Arabidopsis thaliana: one gene and its partners. The protein of the gene in region 1 purifies or fractionates together with the protein of each later gene. This does not show direct contact. Each region holds a gene or a part of one and is shown in the gene's direction. Other genes may lie near its edges. The genes, in order: VDAC1, PHB4, PHB3 and PHB5.

Evidence for each region.
Region 2: the proteins of VDAC1 (region 1) and PHB4 fractionate together in Arabidopsis thaliana (co-fractionation; one large-scale study listed by BioGRID). This does not show direct contact.
Region 3: the proteins of VDAC1 (region 1) and PHB3 fractionate together in Arabidopsis thaliana (co-fractionation; one large-scale study listed by BioGRID). This does not show direct contact.
Region 4: the proteins of VDAC1 (region 1) and PHB5 fractionate together in Arabidopsis thaliana (co-fractionation; one large-scale study listed by BioGRID). This does not show direct contact.

What each region holds. Positions count from the first base shown.
Region 1 is NC_003074.8:83,874-89,019, forward strand, and holds VDAC1 (voltage dependent anion channel 1), read left to right. Parts: upstream 1-1,677; 5' UTR 1,678-1,880; coding exon 1,881-1,929; intron 1,930-2,428; coding exon 2,429-2,496; intron 2,497-2,725; coding exon 2,726-2,836; intron 2,837-2,950; coding exon 2,951-3,037; intron 3,038-3,137; coding exon 3,138-3,346; intron 3,347-3,432; coding exon 3,433-3,739; 3' UTR 3,740-4,197; downstream 4,198-5,146. Other genes in the region: AT3G01270 (Pectate lyase family protein), read right to left, coding at 1-424, 651-847; HIR2 (SPFH/Band 7/PHB domain-containing membrane-associated protein family), read right to left, coding at 4,379-4,737, 4,820-5,008, 5,097-5,146. UniProt on the Arabidopsis thaliana protein: Forms a channel through the mitochondrial outer membrane that allows diffusion of small hydrophilic molecules. The channel adopts an open conformation at low or zero membrane potential and a closed conformation at potentials above 30-40 mV.
Region 2 is NC_003074.8:10,074,877-10,079,494, forward strand, and holds PHB4 (prohibitin 4), read left to right. Parts: upstream 1-1,932; 5' UTR 1,933-2,027; coding exon 2,028-2,339; intron 2,340-2,647; coding exon 2,648-3,175; 3' UTR 3,176-3,187; exon of another isoform or gene 3,188-3,387; 3' UTR 3,388-3,732; downstream 3,733-4,618. Other genes in the region: AT3G27270 (TRAM, LAG1 and CLN8 (TLC) lipid-sensing domain containing protein), read left to right, coding at 758-830. UniProt on the Arabidopsis thaliana protein: Prohibitin probably acts as a holdase/unfoldase for the stabilization of newly synthesized mitochondrial proteins.
Region 3 is NC_003076.8:16,313,919-16,318,989, reverse strand, and holds PHB3 (prohibitin 3), read left to right. Parts: upstream 1-1,698; 5' UTR 1,699-2,368; coding exon 2,369-2,680; intron 2,681-2,879; coding exon 2,880-3,401; 3' UTR 3,402-3,419; intron 3,420-3,501; 3' UTR 3,502-4,140; downstream 4,141-5,071. Other genes in the region: G6PD6 (glucose-6-phosphate dehydrogenase 6), read right to left, coding at 4,434-4,601, 4,763-4,808, 4,923-5,038. UniProt on the Arabidopsis thaliana protein: Prohibitin probably acts as a holdase/unfoldase for the stabilization of newly synthesized mitochondrial proteins. Necessary for mitochondrial and cell metabolism and biogenesis.
Region 4 is NC_003076.8:4,611,306-4,614,922, forward strand, and holds PHB5 (prohibitin 5), read left to right. Parts: upstream 1-1,796; coding exon 1,797-2,084; intron 2,085-2,256; coding exon 2,257-2,718; downstream 2,719-3,617. Other genes in the region: AT5G14285 (DNA-binding storekeeper), read left to right, coding at 1-139; AT5G14290 (Mitochondrial ribosomal protein L37), read right to left, coding at 907-1,305.

The sequences.
Region 1 (5,146 bases):
CTCTTGGCTTAACCGAATGCTCATATCGTGCTTAAAAACGATCCATAGAGGTTCTTTCTGGATCACAGCGTGACGTAGTGTTCCAGGTCTAGGGTTCACCATATCATCGTCTCTGGGGCTCGTGACTACATAGATGCGGCCGCGTTTGCCTCCGGTGGTCCTGTAACCAAACCCACGGACACAGTGAACGAGCTTCTTGCGACGTCTGGCCCAATCAGGCTGGCAACGCCAGCATTTATCGATGGGGTTGCTTGCGGTGCAAGGTCCCGTTAGCTTGCTCCATTTTCCTTTTCCTTTTCCCTTGCCCCTACCGGTTAGGCTCCGCCTTGTGCTGTTTGTCGGACTAGAAATCATCTCAATGACGTCCTCTTCCTCGGAAGCGACCGCCTTCTCTTCCTCGGTCCCCTCGACGTCAGTCGAGTTGCTGAAGATATACACCAAACCAAAACCATCATAAATCCAACATCCTTTTTACAACCCAAAAAAAACTTCTACTAATAAATATTTGTAATTTGAATGAAATCAGAATAAACTAATCCAAACCGTTCTCTAATGATTACAATCAAGCCTGGTTAATTTCAACGAGACGACAAATCGGTAGGATTCAAAAACAATGCATATATAGATCGAGATACTAATATTTGACTTACTCGTAATGACGCTCGTGGAAGTGGTCGACGATCTCATAAGGGTCGGGATGATAAGCCATAAGGGTATGTTTACGAGCTTCATTGGCCTTGTTTACCCAATACTCATCGGTCTCATCAGCAACATTGGCTCGTATGGTCGGAATCAAACTGGCAATACATATCACACACACTAATTTGAAAAGCCTAGCCGTCTCCATTTTATTTGATTACCCCTTTCTTTTACGGAAAACAAATATCTATTTTATTTTTTAAAAAGGGGTAATCTTTTTATATATTGAAATATATGTGGAGAACTGCTAAGCTTTAAACATAGCTTTAGGTCGTTATTTCTGTTTGACCTAAAGCCTTTTTTGGTAGATGAATCGTATTGCGAAGTTTGACAAACATGAATGTTGGTGTTTAAATAATGATAAAAAAAACCTGGTGAAGAAAGTGAACTACTATATTTAGAAAAATTTCCCGTTATGTATGGAAAGCCACCATAATTTACTTGTGGACAGCTTTCTTTGTTTTCTTTTTTTCTTTTTAATTTTACATCTCCTTGTTTTTTGTTCGTTTCCTATATTTGGATATTTCTATGGAGAGACTAACATTATGATTTCGACCAATTTTAGCAACAAGAAACAATTACGTTTACATTCTCATGATGCATCTAAAAGTAGTGAAAATGTCAGACTGCTTGTAGTATAAATTGCTACCATAACGGAGACTTGACTAATCGTTTACTATATCAGCCGCTAACTAGTTGGGATATTTTTCTGAAAATAGTTTGATAAATATGTAAAAATCACGATTTCACCATCACATTCGATTACTCATTCATGACTAAAATAAAGGATGAAATAGCTAAATTTATGCGACTAATCATCAAGGGAAAAAAACGATTTTCTCATTTTAGGCGTGGAAAGAAAAATGTGTTATTAAACGACGCCGTTTAGTTGCCACGTAATAAATGAGAATAAATTTCTTGGTGAGTGGGGAATAAATATATGGACGGCTGTGGATAAGGAATACTGAAGCAAGCGAGTCTCCATCCAACGGCTGATAAAATTATGCTTGATAAACAGGAAAACTCTTCTTTCTCTGATAATATTCGGAAATAAAAAACATTTTAGGGTTTTCCTCAGTCTCTCTCTCTTATAGACGCCAACCACGTTTTCCAGCTCTTGTTCTTTCGATTCTCAGAGAAGACTTTTCAGAACATCCTCCAACTTTCTCAGATAAGCAACAATGGTGAAAGGTCCCGGTCTCTACACCGAAATCGGCAAAAAGGCCAGAGGTATCTTTTTATTATCTCCCTCACTTCTTCTCTTTCATTTCGTTCAATTAAATCTGTTTATGGCGTAGACGATCTGATTGTTGCTACTTAGTGTCCCGTTCTGTCTTCTAATCTGGACTTTCTTTTGATTCCTTAGGATTTTTGATTCATTTGCTCATCTCTTAGATTTTCCTTTTCCCGGTCCCGATTTGGCTACCGGGATAGATCATAGATGCATGCGTAGATTTCGAGTATTCGATCGGGTAGAGATTCATAAGTAATGGATTTCAATCATTGGTGCTGATATGAGTAATTCCTTGGGTTCAATGTCTCCGTCACTCTCGTTTAAGCTCTCTACCTTTCTCAATAGACCCTGTTTTGTTTATCGTTGATCTGGAATAGCCAATTTGAATGCTGTGATTCTCTTTCATGTTTAGCATTTCTCACCATTTAAGTCCCCTTTGAGAATGTTTTGTTAATAAGCTGTCTAAAACTGTTGCTCTGCTCTGTGTATTTGCAGATCTTCTGTACAAAGACCACAACAGTGACCAGAAATTCAGTATCACCACTTTCTCTCCTGCCGGTGTTGTAAGTTTCTCATTTCATTATAGATGATTAGGGTTTATGGAATGTCGTCTTCTGTATTCTGTTTCCACTTTTGCTTTATTCATTAGCTTCTGAGGTTTGTGTCGAATTAGCATTGTTATCTTATGTAACGGATTTCTTACTTTGTTCTTATGTTTCGTGTGATGGTAAACATTGGATTTCTTCTATCTTGGGCATCGTTGCTCATAATCTGGCTCTTTCTTTGTTTTAGGCCATCACCTCAACCGGAACTAAGAAAGGTGACTTATTGTTGGGAGATGTCGCTTTTCAGTCGAGGCGAAAGAACATTACTACTGATTTGAAAGTTTGCACTGATTCTACTGTAAGTGTATTTGTGTACTCAATTTCATCTCCTGTTTTTCTTGTATATTGAGTTATAGTTTTTTGTTTGTTTGTTGGGCTACTTACCTTACAACTTTGTGTGTATTGGTTTCAGTTTCTGATCACCGCTACCGTTGATGAGGCTGCACCCGGACTGAGGTCAATCTTCAGCTTCAAGGTTCCTGACCAAAATTCTGGCAAGGTATATTTTATTAATTCAACAACATTTCTTTGTATTGTTTTAAAGTTTCATCAGTTGAGAGTTGACTTCTCATTTTTATCGTGTTTCGTCTTATAAACAGGTTGAGCTGCAATACTTGCATGAGTACGCCGGTATCAGCACAAGCATGGGATTGACTCAGAACCCAACTGTCAACTTCTCTGGTGTGATTGGCTCCAATGTCTTGGCTGTTGGTACTGATGTTTCATTTGACACCAAGTCTGGAAATTTCACCAAGATCAATGCTGGTTTAAGCTTCACCAAGGAGGACTTAATTGCCTCCCTTACTGTGTAAGTGATTTTTAGTGAGAATTCTGGATGAAAGATGGAGTTCTCAATGTTTCCATTTAATATCTTTTGATTTTGTTGTTTGTTAGGAACGACAAGGGCGATCTATTGAATGCATCTTACTATCACATTGTGAACCCGCTGTTCAACACTGCGGTTGGAGCCGAAGTGAGCCACAAGTTATCTAGCAAGGACAGCACCATAACTGTTGGAACACAGCACTCGCTTGACCCCTTGACCTCTGTGAAGGCTCGTGTCAATAGTGCGGGTATTGCAAGTGCTCTCATTCAACACGAGTGGAAACCCAAGTCATTCTTCACAATCTCTGGAGAAGTCGACACAAAGTCAATTGACAAGAGTGCTAAAGTTGGATTGGCTCTCGCACTCAAGCCTTGAAACTGAGATGGAAGAAGAAGTTGCAATAGTTTTTTTAAACTAGTTTCTTTCTACGTACTCTGTTTTTTCTCTGCTTGGTTCATGGTTTGAGTGGGCAACTACTGATCTTTCCCATTTTCCTGCCGGATTTGTAGAAGAATAAAAAGGTTGAAAATGATCATCTTGAGATGGTGATGAAACTCTTAAGATCCTCCTCTTCTGCTTCTCTTTTTATTTGCCGTGTCATAATGAAAATTGCATATTCAGATGGGCCTGTGTGTTGAGTAAGTGGACCTGTGTCCAGAGAGTTGATTGAGATGGGCTTCATTTTAGGCCCACATGTTTATCGATCAGGTTCATTCTCTTCATTATATGAAAGTGTCCTATATCGCAACATTCTCTTCATTAATCATTATATTAGTTTATCGCCACAAAGTTCACTATTCAAAGATTCGATTTTTCTCTCGCAAACAGAAATTTATATTGACTTTTAAGAAAAAATACAAAGTATATCTATCACACAACTCACAAAAGAGATAGGTACAAACATAATGACAAATCACAATAAGCACACCATTATATTAAAAGTCAAATTTACCTTTTTAATAAGAAGATACAAAAATATATAAAGAGACGACCAAGACAATTTGACTTGAGTGATTAGGAGGCATTGTTGGCCTGTAATAATCCATTTCGAATCTGCGCTGCCACGTCAGAGACGGCGCCTGGACCGTGAGGGATAAACACCGCAGAGGATTTAGAAGTTGCTCCGATATCTCTCATTGTGTCAAAGTACTGAGTCATCATCACCATGTCCAACACATCCTTCGCTGACGTCCCTGGCACGTTTCCTGCGAACCCTAGAACACTGTCTCTCAGACCGTCCACGATCGCTTGTCTCTGCCGAGCGATTCCGAGTCCCGACAGGTACTTTGACTCTGCTTCACCCTCTGCTCTTTTGATCTGAATGATTTTCTCAGCCTCTGCTTTTTCGCTCGCTGCCACTCTCATCCTCGCCGCTGTAACAACAATTGAATTCAGGGTTTTGACCATTTATTTGTTTAGATTTTGATTTAGGGTTTTACGATTTTGAGGACTTACCGGCGTTGATTTCGTTCATGGCACGTTTAACCTGTTGATCAGGCTCAATGTCGATAATTAGGGTTTGAAGGATTTCGTAACCATAAGCAGTCATGGCTTTGTCTAGCTCTTCTTCCACAGATTTGGCAATTTCATTCTTCTGCTCGAACACATCGTCCAAGTTCAGCTTTGGAACACATGCTCTGATCACTGAAAAAACAAAACGAAAATCAATAACTTGACCGGATAAATCATCACTTTCCCTAAGTATTGAGAAATGAAGAGGAGATATATATACCATCAAAGACGTAGGCTTTGATTTGGGTGGTTGGATTGCTGAGTCTGTAA
Region 2 (4,618 bases), about 10 Mb from region 1:
TTGAGCAAAATAAGAGAGGAAGTAAGATAGATTAAAATTTAAACAACCACAAGATAAACATGCTTTAAGATTCTAGTTAAGAGATGGATAATTGAACGAATCCAAACCAATTGGAGGGGAATGGTCTGTTAGATTTCACATGTTAGAGGTTCCTCCATGAAGTCTAGAGTTAGACTCTTTCGAAATCTCACAAAATGTAGCTTGAAGGATGAGTTTGACATCAACAATCTGTTGGTCCAATAGTAAATCTCCCAGATGGAGGTGTTGAGTTCAAAGCATGTTGGGAGGGATTTTTTCTCCTAAAAAGATGAATTTAACTTGGTGTAGGTCTCGCCAGGCTGACCTCGCCCATATTTACAAATTACAATATCATCAAAACCCGAAGGAGTAAACAAAGAGTGGTGATTAAAGAATGAAGTGTCATTTTAAATAGCTCCCACTTGTTTTTCTCTCGATCTCAATCTGACAGAAACTGATATATTCCACTGATCTTCATCGATTCATCAAAGTTTTAGATTTTAATTCAGATTTCATCTTAAGGGAGGGTATTACGAGTATAGGAATGTGATTATCATATTAATGAAAGTTGAGGTTTTAAAAATAGCTTAACCAAACAAATGTAATCTTGCCAAAAAGATATAAAATGAGTCCATCAACAAAATTTATCGGAGTTACAAGATCATCAGATTCCGAAAAGCTTTTCTGTTTATGCGAGCGGTAATAGTGTTTTTTGATGTCTCCGTCGATTTCTTTGAAGGTGGCCAAAGGCGAAACGGAGACACTATTGTGCAACAAGTTGTTCATTTGTTTCCAAACATGGTAAGCTGTAGCATGAGCAACTCCTACTAATTTCCAAAGAATTGTGGGAGCAGTCTCTGTTTTTAGCTTAGTCCAAGCCAGAATTGAAATCCAAGTAATAAAGATATAAGGCGATATCGTTAATCCTCTTCTGGTGTTTTCTGTATGTAAAACGGCGTCTTTCTTTTGATTCGAAACGGAGGAGTTTGTGAAGGGTAACAAGACGGAATGGTTCTTTATATCTGGGAGGACCAAGATGGGGAAATGTGGAAAAAGAATGAATCGTAGAGACAATGGAGGATACTGGAGGGTAGTATCATCTCTGCCAAGAAGATTCATGCTGGAGAAGCAGGCCTTGTCGGCTACAAATACTCACTAGAGTACTACATTGGAAAACAACCAAAATGGCGTAAAAGAGGGTTGGTTGATGCATGAACACTGGCTTAAGTCTTCTGATGATATTAATAACTACGAGCTGGTAAGAGTATATATGTACGTTTACTTACTTGGTTTCCAAGTTATTGAGACTCTTGAGTTTTGGTTTTTATTGTGACGACTTCTGTTGTTTTGTTTGAGTAGGGCAATTATGCTATGTGCAAGATCTATCTGAGTCCACACGCAGCAAAGAAGAAGAAAACACACGATGAAGAGATCGACGATTTAGTTCAATTTGTGGAAGCAGCCTTAGATGTTTCTTTTTATCTACTTTTGCTGTCCAAAGTCAGAGGTCTCATTGTCTTTATATAGAATTTCTTGTATATAACATTTTCCACTGGTTGTATAGAAAAATCAATTTTAGTCTTTTGTGCTTATTCACTCTAATCAAAATCTCTAATCAAGGTGAAGGAGGAGGTGGAGGAAGAACATTTTCATCTTGCTCTCTAAGAAGATCCAAAATCTCTGCAGGGTTGTTATCAACACGCTCTTCGTCTCTGTCTTCCTCTCCGGATTTAGTTTCGTTTATGGGCAAATAATCAAATTCGGGTTTAATCTTCCAAACCGTTGTTTCCTTTTATATTACATCATTTCCTTTTCCTTTTTTATTATTGGGCCGAAGTAGTTTATATTATTAATGGGCTTTAAACAAGCCCATATTCAATAATTGTCGGCCAAAAAAAACCCTCTCTTCCAAGTTCCAAAATCATTTCATAAACCCTAACAAACCCCTAAATCTTTCCTTTCTCAATTCTCTCCTTCGAAGCTTTTTTCTTGTGAGGTCAGAAAAGAAAATGGGAAGTCAACAAGTAGCGATTTCGTTTCTGACGAACTTGGCGAAGGCGGCGTTTGGGTTAGGTGTGGCGGCGACGGCACTAAACTCGTCGCTCTACACTGTTGATGGTGGCGAGAGAGCTGTTTTGTTCGATCGATTCAGGGGAGTGTTGGATCAGACCGTCGGCGAAGGGACTCATTTCTTGATCCCGTATCTCCAGACGCCGCACATATACGATATTCGTACGAAACCTCACACTTTCTCCTCCAAATCTGGTACTAAGGATCTTCAGATGGTTAATCTCACCCTTCGTGTTCTCTTTCGCCCTGAGGTAATTTCGATTTTAGCAACAATCAATTTCTCGATTCTGTGTTTGATTTTGTATACATTGGTTGTTTACAAGATCGAGGGTTTAGGATGATCGTGTTCGTTCGATTTAGCAATCATTTATCGATTCTGTGTTTGATTTCGTGGAATTTGAAGTTTGTGTACAAGATCTAGAGTTGAAGATAATCCTTATGTGTAATTTGGTTTCTTCGATGAATGTTACTCTTATTATAGAAGCTTTTGGTGCATATCTATGCTGGCTTCGATTGTTTGAGGGATTGAATAAGTTGTTGTGGTTATTTTACTGTGAAGGTTTCGCGTCTCCCGTACATTTTCCAAACATTGGGTCTTGAATACGATGAGAAGGTTCTTCCATCGATTGGAAATGAGGTCTTGAAAGCTGTGGTTGCTAATTTCAATGCTGATCAGCTCCTCACTGAGCGTCCTCAAGTATCAGCACTTGTTCGTGATGCTCTTATCAAGCGTGCCAGGGAATTTAACATTGAGCTCGACGACATAGCCATTACTCACTTATCGTACGGTGCTGAGTTCTCGAGGGCAGTGGAGGCGAAGCAAGTGGCTCAGCAGGAAGCTGAAAGGTCAAAGTTTGTGGTGATGAAGGCTGATCAAGAGAGGAGAGCTGCGGTTATAAGAGCAGAAGGTGAGAGTGAAGCTGCTCAGTTGATATCAGATGCAACAGCTAAAGCAGGAATGGGACTAATTGAGCTTAGGAGGATTGAAGCTTCAAGGGAGGTTGCGGCTACTCTGGCTAGGTCTCCGAACGTGGCTTACTTACCTGGTGGACAAAGCATGCTCTTTAATCTGAACCCTGGTCGTTGAGCTATAACATTGGTATGCTCTTTTACTTCTTTGAATAATGAATGAAAAATGGATTTGGACTTAAGATTCCCATTTAAAGGCATTAAGGTTATTCGGTTTGGTTGAACTAAGAGTGGTTATGGTTTGGTATAAACTGTTTGGTTTGATAGTAGAGTATGGTTTAGGTTTGTGGAATGGTGTGGTTTACTTGTTTGGCCTTGTTGTATTTGCAGGTGGGAAGAGGAGCTTCAGTGGAGACAAAACGACGGAGCTGTGAAGTTTATTAACGTTGATGCTCTTTTATTTCTGATGAACACGATGTGAAAAAAGATAATTGTTTTGAGCCGTTCTATCTTTTCTGACTCTAGAAGTAAAGACTATGCCATTGTTGTCGAAACCCGATCATTCCAATGAAAGGCTTCACCAAAAAATCTACCATAACAATAGTCGAAATTTGTATTGTCAAAAACAATTTCCAACACCAAGGTTGTTGTACTTGTATTATTTAAAATATAAATTAAAACATGGTAAATAAATTAAATAAAACTTTTTTATGTGGTCACTTTGGTGGCTTCGGTACATGCGGTGGCCTCTTGTGGTGGGGTAGACAAACTCTAAGTATAGTGCATTCACAAACTTTAACTTTTCCCTTCAAATTACAATTTGCTCCACCATAACCTTCGTTGTTACAACTCGTTCGGCACCTCCTAGCACCGTCTACCTTATTACACGTCTCTGGCGGTGCTTTGCTTGGATAATCATCACACAATTCCCAATTCATTGCTTTTCCTAATACAATAATTCGATCAATTACAAGTATTTATATCGTATTGATTATATATGCATATTTTTGTTTTTTTTCAATGAAAATATATTTGGTAGAAGATTTAATATTATTTACGATTTTATCTCCTTGTAGTGATTTATTTTACAGCTAAATTACAATTTTGACAAATTTCCTTAATTTTTTTTTTAAATGAGTATAAGAAGTTCCATTTTTTCAATATTTGTATATCTTGTAATTTATAAACCAAAAGTTTAACCGCAAATAACACCTTTTTTTTTTGTTGCATTAAGCATCTATCATTATAAATCAAACTTTTAGACATTTTGTTTTTCCTTTTATAAGTTTTTATTTTTCTTTGTTAATAGAGTGTTTTATGAATAATAAATCTAAGTGTCATATTGCTATATATCAGGAATTATTATTTCTAAAAATAGAAGAAGAAATGAGAGATAATCCGTAAAAAATGCCTATGAAATTGTTTAATGAAAAGAAACATTCATTATTAATTTATATCATAATTCTCTTTTTTCATATAACTTTGATATGTTTCTTTATTAAAAATATGTTATTTAAACGTAATAATTACCTACATGATATTATGCATTATACACTGGATGTACAAACTGCGAATAAGTATTGGAATATGAGAGGTATTATTAAGTAAACTAGGTTTGGAT
Region 3 (5,071 bases), on another chromosome or scaffold:
TTAAGGATGAAATTTATCTCCACCAGATTGCAAATTTATTTTTATTTACTCGTCAATCTATTTCATCTTCGTTGTATATGGTCAACGAAACTATTAGATTACAATCAATTGATTTTATAATTATTACTAAGGTATGAATAATTTCAACACCACCAATTAGCTATAGTTTCGATCTGCACTTTGACACTAAATTATAATTTTTATAATTTAGTGTATCAACGTGACATCATGTATGTGATAATTAGCTTACATTATCTTATACTAGTTTGTAAACAAATACTGGCCATTGGTGGAGGAAAATTATGTGCACTAAACAACAAATGAGCATCCATTATAGCTTAGACTAAAGAATATTTGCATTATATGTAATGAGTCTCATATTTAAGTAAATGGCAATTCTAAAATTTTTTCACTAGCTAGATAAAAACACATCAATACTTTTTATTGATCTACCATTGGTGGTCAGATGATAATTCGATTCAATGTTTAGCCTAAACATATTCTTTCTGACCGATTAAAAACCAAGTGAACGTTTTGTTTTGGTCGATCTATCCCAAGATTAGTTGGACTTTGTTCCAAATTTCTTGATGAGCAAACACAAAAGTGTAAATTGTTTCTTATTATTGTTGTCATGTACCATATATATATATTTGACAAAATAACCTAGTATAGTAGTAGTAGTATATATATAATTATATATATATATATTAATATTAGTTTCAGTTTGTTTATTTTACAATTATACACTTCTCACTCTAATTGGTTATCAAAGATTCATGTTTCCTTCACTTGGGTTGTTTCTTTTACCTGTTTCGATAATATTGATGACTACATATATATCCGGTTGGAGTCAAAATGTTGAAAGAATCGAATTTAGCTCAATCTTTGAAGTTGGCGTTTAGTTTTTGAAATTAAAGATTTCTCTGCAATATTTTAATTGAAAATCAATATTGAAGGACTTTTCTGTAATATAAATCTATTTTAAAGGTTATTTTCAAACCTGTATAAGATTCGACACCGAAACATTTGACATTTTCGATAACGTGGTGAGGTCACTGTGTGACCTTCCAAGTAAAACTCCATAATTTTCTTAGTATTCGAGACGACTTAATTGAGTCATATTAATTAAGTGATACATAATATCTCTATATTTTTTTGGTCGAAGATACATAACAATTTTACGGATAAAATATTTGGAGATTTACATGCTTTCAGATTCAGTTTTAATACTCGTGTACATCTGTCTTCAAATCCCACTTAACCGAATAGAAAAGTATTCGCGTATACTGTTTGTTGGTCAAAAAATAGTCACAAAAAGTTTTCAAAAATAGATATCATTGTTTCACAACTTTTCTTTTAAGGAAAAAAAAACACTTTTTATACTGGAAAAACTCAACAACAACGTCCCCTGCCGTTATATTTGAAAAGGATTAATCATGCTCACATGTAAATATTTTTCTTATACGAAAAAGTAGTTATCCTTATTCAACTTCGTGTTTGTCAAGTAGCTCGAAGAATATTTTTGTTCACTACCGTTGGCTTGTACTAATCTAATACTTTTATAGTAGGCCCTTAACACCATACAAATGTCCAAGTAGGTATATTCTTCAATTTTTATTTGATTAAACAAATTGAGATAAACTATTGGCGTTGACCGATCTTGGTTTTCATTGCCTCGATTTTGCTGTTTTATATTTGGTTTCTTCTTGCTGGTTGGGATGCTGTTTTTGAACTGTGAGGTAGTCTTCATTTGTTATAAGAAGAGCTGCTATCTTGATGCTGTGGATTAGAATTTCCCCGTCGTTTAGCCATTTCTGCAAGCTTTTCTTTATCTTGGATTGATGGTGGGCAATGTCTCATGTGCTAGATTCTGGTTATAGTTTTTGATTTTCCATGGTTCAGTTTCTATTTTCTTATGCATTTAAAGTAATGTTTGTTAGCTTCCCATACTTTTGGGCTTTAGTCTCCGAGGATTTTTGTTATCCGTCGACTTAGTTTTTGAGATTATCTTGTTAATCGTCAGCTTTAACTTTGTAAACTCTATCTATAATCTATCTTTCAGTAAAAAAAAAATAAAAAAAATTGAGAGAAACATAATTTATGAGACAAAAAGATATTAAACATACTCTGTAACCGTTAAGCTGTTTTCAGCCCAATGTCATGAAACCCATTATTGAATTTAGTTCTTAATAGGCTTATATAGTCACATAATAATATTGGGCTAAGTTACTTGGCCCATTAAATCATTTCCCGTGGTAGGTTCCAGAAACATATCATAAACCCTAGCAGAAACTCTTTCCTCTCTCGTCGTCTCAAATCTCTTCTTCCTTCTTCTTCTCTCTCGATTCAAGATAATCCACACGCAAAAATGGGAAGCCAACAAGCGGCTGTTTCGTTCCTTTCCAATTTGGCGAAGGCTGCTTTCGGTCTTGGAACGGCGGCGACGGTGCTGAATACATCGCTTTTCACCGTTGACGGCGGAGAAAGAGCTGTTATCTTCGATCGATTCAGGGGAGTGATGGATCAGACTGTGGGTGAAGGGACTCATTTCTTGATCCCGATTCTTCAGAGGCCTCACATCTTCGATATCCGCACGAAGCCTCACACGTTCTCTTCAATCTCTGGTACTAAGGATCTCCAGATGGTTAATCTCACTCTTCGTGTTCTCTCTCGTCCTGAGGTATAACGCATAACGGTTCTTCATTTTTGATCTAGACTCGTTTGATTTCTCTGAATTGAGGTTTTTCAGATTCATTTGCGAATTGGATTTAGGGTTTAGGGTTTTGATGATCTATGATTTTCAAAATTTGTTTCGAGGACTAGGTATTGTAGAATCGTTATTAATTTGGTGTGTTTATGTGATGTGAATTGTTGTGAAGGTGTCGCGTCTCCCGTACATCTTCCAAACTTTGGGTCTAGAGTATGACGAGAAGGTTCTTCCTTCGATTGGAAATGAGGTTTTGAAAGCTGTGGTTGCACAGTTCAACGCTGACCAGCTTCTCACTGAGCGTCCTCACGTCTCAGCACTTGTTCGGGAGTCACTAATCACCCGTGCGAAGGACTTCAACATTGTGCTTGATGATGTAGCTATCACGCATTTGTCCTATGGTGTGGAGTTTTCAAGGGCTGTTGAGCAGAAACAAGTGGCTCAGCAAGAGGCAGAGAGGTCTAAGTTTGTTGTGATGAAGGCTGATCAAGAGAGGAGAGCTGCGGTTATAAGAGCTGAAGGTGAAAGTGAAGCTGCTCAGTTGATTTCTGATGCTACGGCTAAAGCTGGTATGGGACTTATCGAGCTTAGGAGGATTGAAGCTTCAAGGGAGATTGCGTCTACACTTGCTAGGTCTCCTAATGTGGCCTACTTACCCGGTGGCCAGAGCATGCTCTTTGCCCTGAACCGTTGATCTTGATCAGATATGATGGTATGTAAAAGCTTCATCTGAATCCATAGAATTAAGTCGTTTTGTGATTTGTCTGAAGGCTTTGTATTATGGTTATGTGCAGGTTGTTTGGGAGCATTTTGCGATATTTTAATGATCAAGTTGTGAATCTGATTGAATCAAAAAGGTGAAATGCTCTTTTGTTTTGATGAACTCTGAAGAAGAAAAAGAAACTAGTTGTTTGAGTTGTCATTATTGTGTTCTGAATCTCGGCAAAATTTACTCTACCTGAAGAATCTTTGTTTTCAGCATCATGTTTATCTAATTCTCAACAAATAAATGATTTTGGCTGAACTGTAAGTAATTTGTTTGTTACACATGCGTGAGAAAAGAAAATACAGATGGTACCTAGGAGTGTTGTTCTATGCGGATAAACTATGGTCACATCTGGATTATCTAGATGGTACCTATTTTGCATAAACTGTCGATAGTCTACGTCAAATTTCGATCTGTATGGACATTCAATTGTTTTTGCATAAACAGAGCAAGTTCAGAAACAAAGCAAATAAAGAAGAGAAATCATGAAAGATAGCCTTTTCTATCGAGATCCATTTTATCCATCGGTTTTAGTTTTTTTTTTTTTGGTCATCTAATGATAATGATGACTATGTAAAGACGGCGTCGGTTCCTAGACTCAACTTATGTGTCTGTGTCAACAAACTCTAGATGGAACTTAATGTGTGTTTCAACCACCTCTAGATTGAACTTATGTGTGTATATCAACAAACTCTACATTTTTTGGCAATTTTTTCTATCTCATCGTCAATTTCATTCATTTAACGAGCACAACAAAAGCTAAATTCATTTATGGTATTGGTAAGATTTTTATTTTTATTTCTACAAAGCCGCAAATACAAGACCAAAGGAAGTGTCAAAGTGAACAGCTGAAGTAGCAAGTTTCACGTACAAACACCAAACTCGAGGAGGGACTATTCAGCATAATTTATACATATACATGTAGATACATGTATTGTGTATTTATATATATGTAGGGTTTTATAGTGTAGGAGGGATCCAGATATAGCCGTGAGTCTGAAGATAACCAGCTTTCTCTAGTAGCTGATCAGCTTCTTTCGGTCCTCGGCTTCCTGGTTTGTATGGGATTGACTTTACTTCTCCTTTGTCGATCCTGTGGAGTAGCGGCGTGAAGATCTCCCACGCAACCTGTAATAATCATCAAAATGGATACAAATGTTAGCTCCTGAATTGTATGATGCAAAAGTTTGTGTCTGGATTGTGTCTATAGTTAGAGCATTTGTAATGTAACAAAAAAACGATCTCAGAGACTGCTTTGGTTTAAGGGTGGCGTTAGAAAATGTTTCTACCTTTAATTCGTCTCTACGAACGAAATGTTGTTGATCGCCTTTGATTCTGCAGAGAGATGGAAAGAAAATATGTTGAAGATAACATGAAGGAACAGAAGGCATCAATTAGATATATAAAGCCTATTGGGGTAGTATATAATTTAGAAAATTTATTTCTTACGTGTCAAGAATTAAGCGCTCGTATGCCTCAGGGATAGCGACACCTTGATACCGTTGCCCATACGACAAGTCTAGTTCACTTTGCACAGTATTCATATCTAGACCTGGTTGCTTAACCTGTGTAGCAAAAGCATAGCCAAAAGCGTTATG
Region 4 (3,617 bases), on another chromosome or scaffold:
TAATTGGTTGTGGATTTCTTGGGCAATTGTTGTTGGAATTGCTATTACTGTTAGTATACTTTGGATTTGGAATCTCTGGATAGAATTGTTTAGTGAAAGGAAAGCTAACAAAATCAGAGTAGACAAGAAAATTAGATAGTTTCTTCTTTCTTCTCTAGATCATTGTTTGATCTTCCTTTTCATGTACTATATATAATATATATACCATTATTATTCTCACCTTTTAGAATTCCTCTAAATGATGTATGTTTTGGAATAATAGATTTGCTTTTGGGTAAGCAGTATGTGCAAAATGCACTTTTAATTCAACTCTGTATTGTTCAGAAGTTCTTCTCTTAAGAGTTTCTTCCATACACATATGTCTTGTCTCTCTGCTACACTTGGTTGCTCACATCTTGATTCTTGATATTGATGAGAAACGTTTTCTTTATGAAGTGTGCCATTCTTGGTGAGTTATATTTGGCTTTATAACTCTCTTTGTTTACGGCCAACACCAAGTCCCCTGAAACCAGCAACTGGTAAGCCATATATTCTTTTACTTGGAAGAATCAAAAGTTAGCTGGGGAAGTGTAAGAAATTACGAAACACAGAGATTCATATCTTCGATCATTGGATTGTGAACTTTTCATGTGTTGAAGAGGATAGGAAGAGAATTGGGGACTAAACATACCATCCAAGCTGAGACATGGTGTTAGGCAGTCTGTTGTGGAAAGCTGAATGATATACCATTTGGCCAATGAATAGCATAAAATACACAAATTTAACCAATTTACTGAGAAGAGCATGGAATTAGAGAAAAATCTTTTAAGATCAAATAATCCCAAAGATAATAAGGAAAATGAAGGGATTGCTCAAACAAGGGGAATTATAAGGGACACATACAACAAGTCATTGTTGAATCTCATTTCAGTTCTTGGCCTTGATAGAATGGTTCTCCTTGATTCTAGCTCTGGTATCCAGCTTCACAAAACGTTTAAGATCATCAAAACTAAGAGTCTCAACGTTCTTCCTTCTAAGTTCGCTAAGCGCCGGTCGCTTATCAAGCAGATGCCATAAATAATCAGGGTGATCTGAATTAGGCAAGATCTTAGGGTCCAATCCATCTTTCAGAGTATTAGCACTAACAACCATACTCGATTTGATCTCTTTGCTCAAGTTCGATGCTTTTGGTGCATCATTACCTCCATCTCCCCTCCCAACCTTCTTCGCTTTACCAGCAGCTGTAGCAAATGTTCTTTGGCACACAAATCGCATTACATCTTTGGATCTAGAAATGGAATCCCCAAACATTCGAATAAGGTTCATATCAACAACCTTATACCTGCAAATTCACAAAATAAAACTAAATAAATCTACACAATCCTATAATGTTCGTTCTCGGATTTAGATCAAGATTCGAGTTTTGTCGAAGATTTTTGGGTGAGGGTTTAACTCGCAAGATAGAGATAGGTAGCGAGTGCATCGCGGGAACTGGTAAAACTTATTAAAAAGTAACGGACCGGAAAATTAAAAGACCCGTCTAAAAGCCCACCAATAGTAATGCATACAAGTAACACGTGGCAGGTATGGTTGACCGAGTGAGTAACAGAACGTGAGAAAACCGACCCGCTAAATAAGAACCCGCCCAATATAATAAGCTTTCTCCTTAACTTCTGCCTCACGCAAAAAAAAAAACTTCCTATAAAACCTCATCTCCTGCGTTCTCTAACTACTTCTCACCTATCTGACAAGAAAAGAAACCCTAAACAACATAAAAAGAAACCTAAAATCCATACAGGAGACATTCAAAGCCAATCATGCCTTGGTCAAAGTTCACAAAGGTAGCTCTAGGTCTAGGAGCTGCCATAGCGGCTGTGAGATCAACAATGTTCACCGTTGATGGTGGCCAGAGAGCTGTTATGTTCCACCGATTCGAAGGGATTCTAGAAGAACCAGTAGGAGAAGGGACACATCGTAAGATTCCGTGGGTGCAAAAGCCGTATATCTTCGACATTCGGACCAAACCCTACAAAATCAATACCGACTCTGGAACTAAGGATCTTCAGATGGTCAACCTCACACTTCGTGTTATGTTTCGCCCTGATGTAAGTTCCCGCGAATATCCAAAAAATTTCACTAATAAGATTTTGTGATATATATGTAAAATAATATATAACTGTTTTCCGTGGGTTCGTGTTAGGTTTCGCGCCTCTCGTATATATACCAAAACTTAGGTCTCGACTATGGTGAAAAGGTCCTACCAGCGATCGGGACGAGGTGGTTAAAGCGGTGGTGGCTCAGTTCAACGCTGACGAGCTCTTAACAGAACGTCCACAGGTCTCAGCTCTTATACGCGAAACGTTGATCAAGCGAGCTAAGGAGTTCAACATTGTTCTCGATGACGTGTCGATCACTGGTCTCTCATACGGTAAAGAGTTCTCACTTGCGGTGGAGCGGAAGCAGGTGGCACAGCAAGAAGCTGAGCGGTCCAAGTTCGTAGTGGCAAAGGCTGATCAGGAGAGACGAGCGGCTGTGATTAGAGCAGAAGGAGAGAGCGAGGCGGCTCGGGTTATATCGAAAGCGACTGCAGGGGCTGGGATGGGGTTGATCAAGCTCAGAAGGGTCGAGGCGGCTAGAGAGGTTGCGATTACGCTCTCTAATTCTCCCAATGTCGTCTATTTGCCAAGTGGTGGGAATATGTTGTTTGCAATGAACGGTCCAAGCAAAGTTGTTGCTTGAATTAGTTGCAAAAATATGGTGTTCAATGGTTATATTGATTTGTGTGTTTTAAGATTTTCATTTTTTTATATAGTTTCCTAGTATTGGATCACCCTAGTATACTCCAGTTGAGACTGTTCTTGCGAGTCTGAGACTCGCACACATGACACATGACACATCTACTGTTAAGTCGACATTGACATCAAATTAAACAATCACTGTGCCAATCAAACTTATGCATAGACCTAGAGATAATTAAGTAGTCCAAGTTCAAAGGTTGATCTAACCTGGATCAGTGCCCTTGGTAGCTATGGCACATACTTCCTCACTAGGGAAAATGGGAGCTGATTATCCAGCAGCTTTCGATTAGATATCAACAAACAAAATGCAAATTAGGTTATCTTAGAAAGAAAAAAAAACAAGCTATTCATCGGATCACAAGTCACAAGTGTCACCTCGAAAGAAACTTGGGCCCATCTATATTATCTTATGGGCCTTATCGACCGATTCAAATATTGCAAATTAGTGTCGTTAACCTTTTTTGAAAACATACGGCCATTAGTGACAATTTAATTAATATTCTACAAATTCGAGCAGTGTCTTCTACATTTCTTTGTAAAGTCTTTGGTTTTTAATTTTAAGGTCAAGTTCACCATGAGCGACCAAAGTTTTGAATTTTTCAAGGTTTTTATTTTCATTTTATCGTTGTATGGAGAAAGTTTCTTATATCTTCATTTGAACATTGAATAGAATTATTAAACATTATAATTCAAGGTAGGATGGTCAAACAATTATTCTAGATTTCCCTCTTAAATTCCCAAATTTAACATAATTTAAGCTTTTGGTAACCAAAAATCTAACATCTTACAAAATTTAATAAATGTTTTTGGCCCAAAGAAAATTTATAGTGCTGGCAAAAG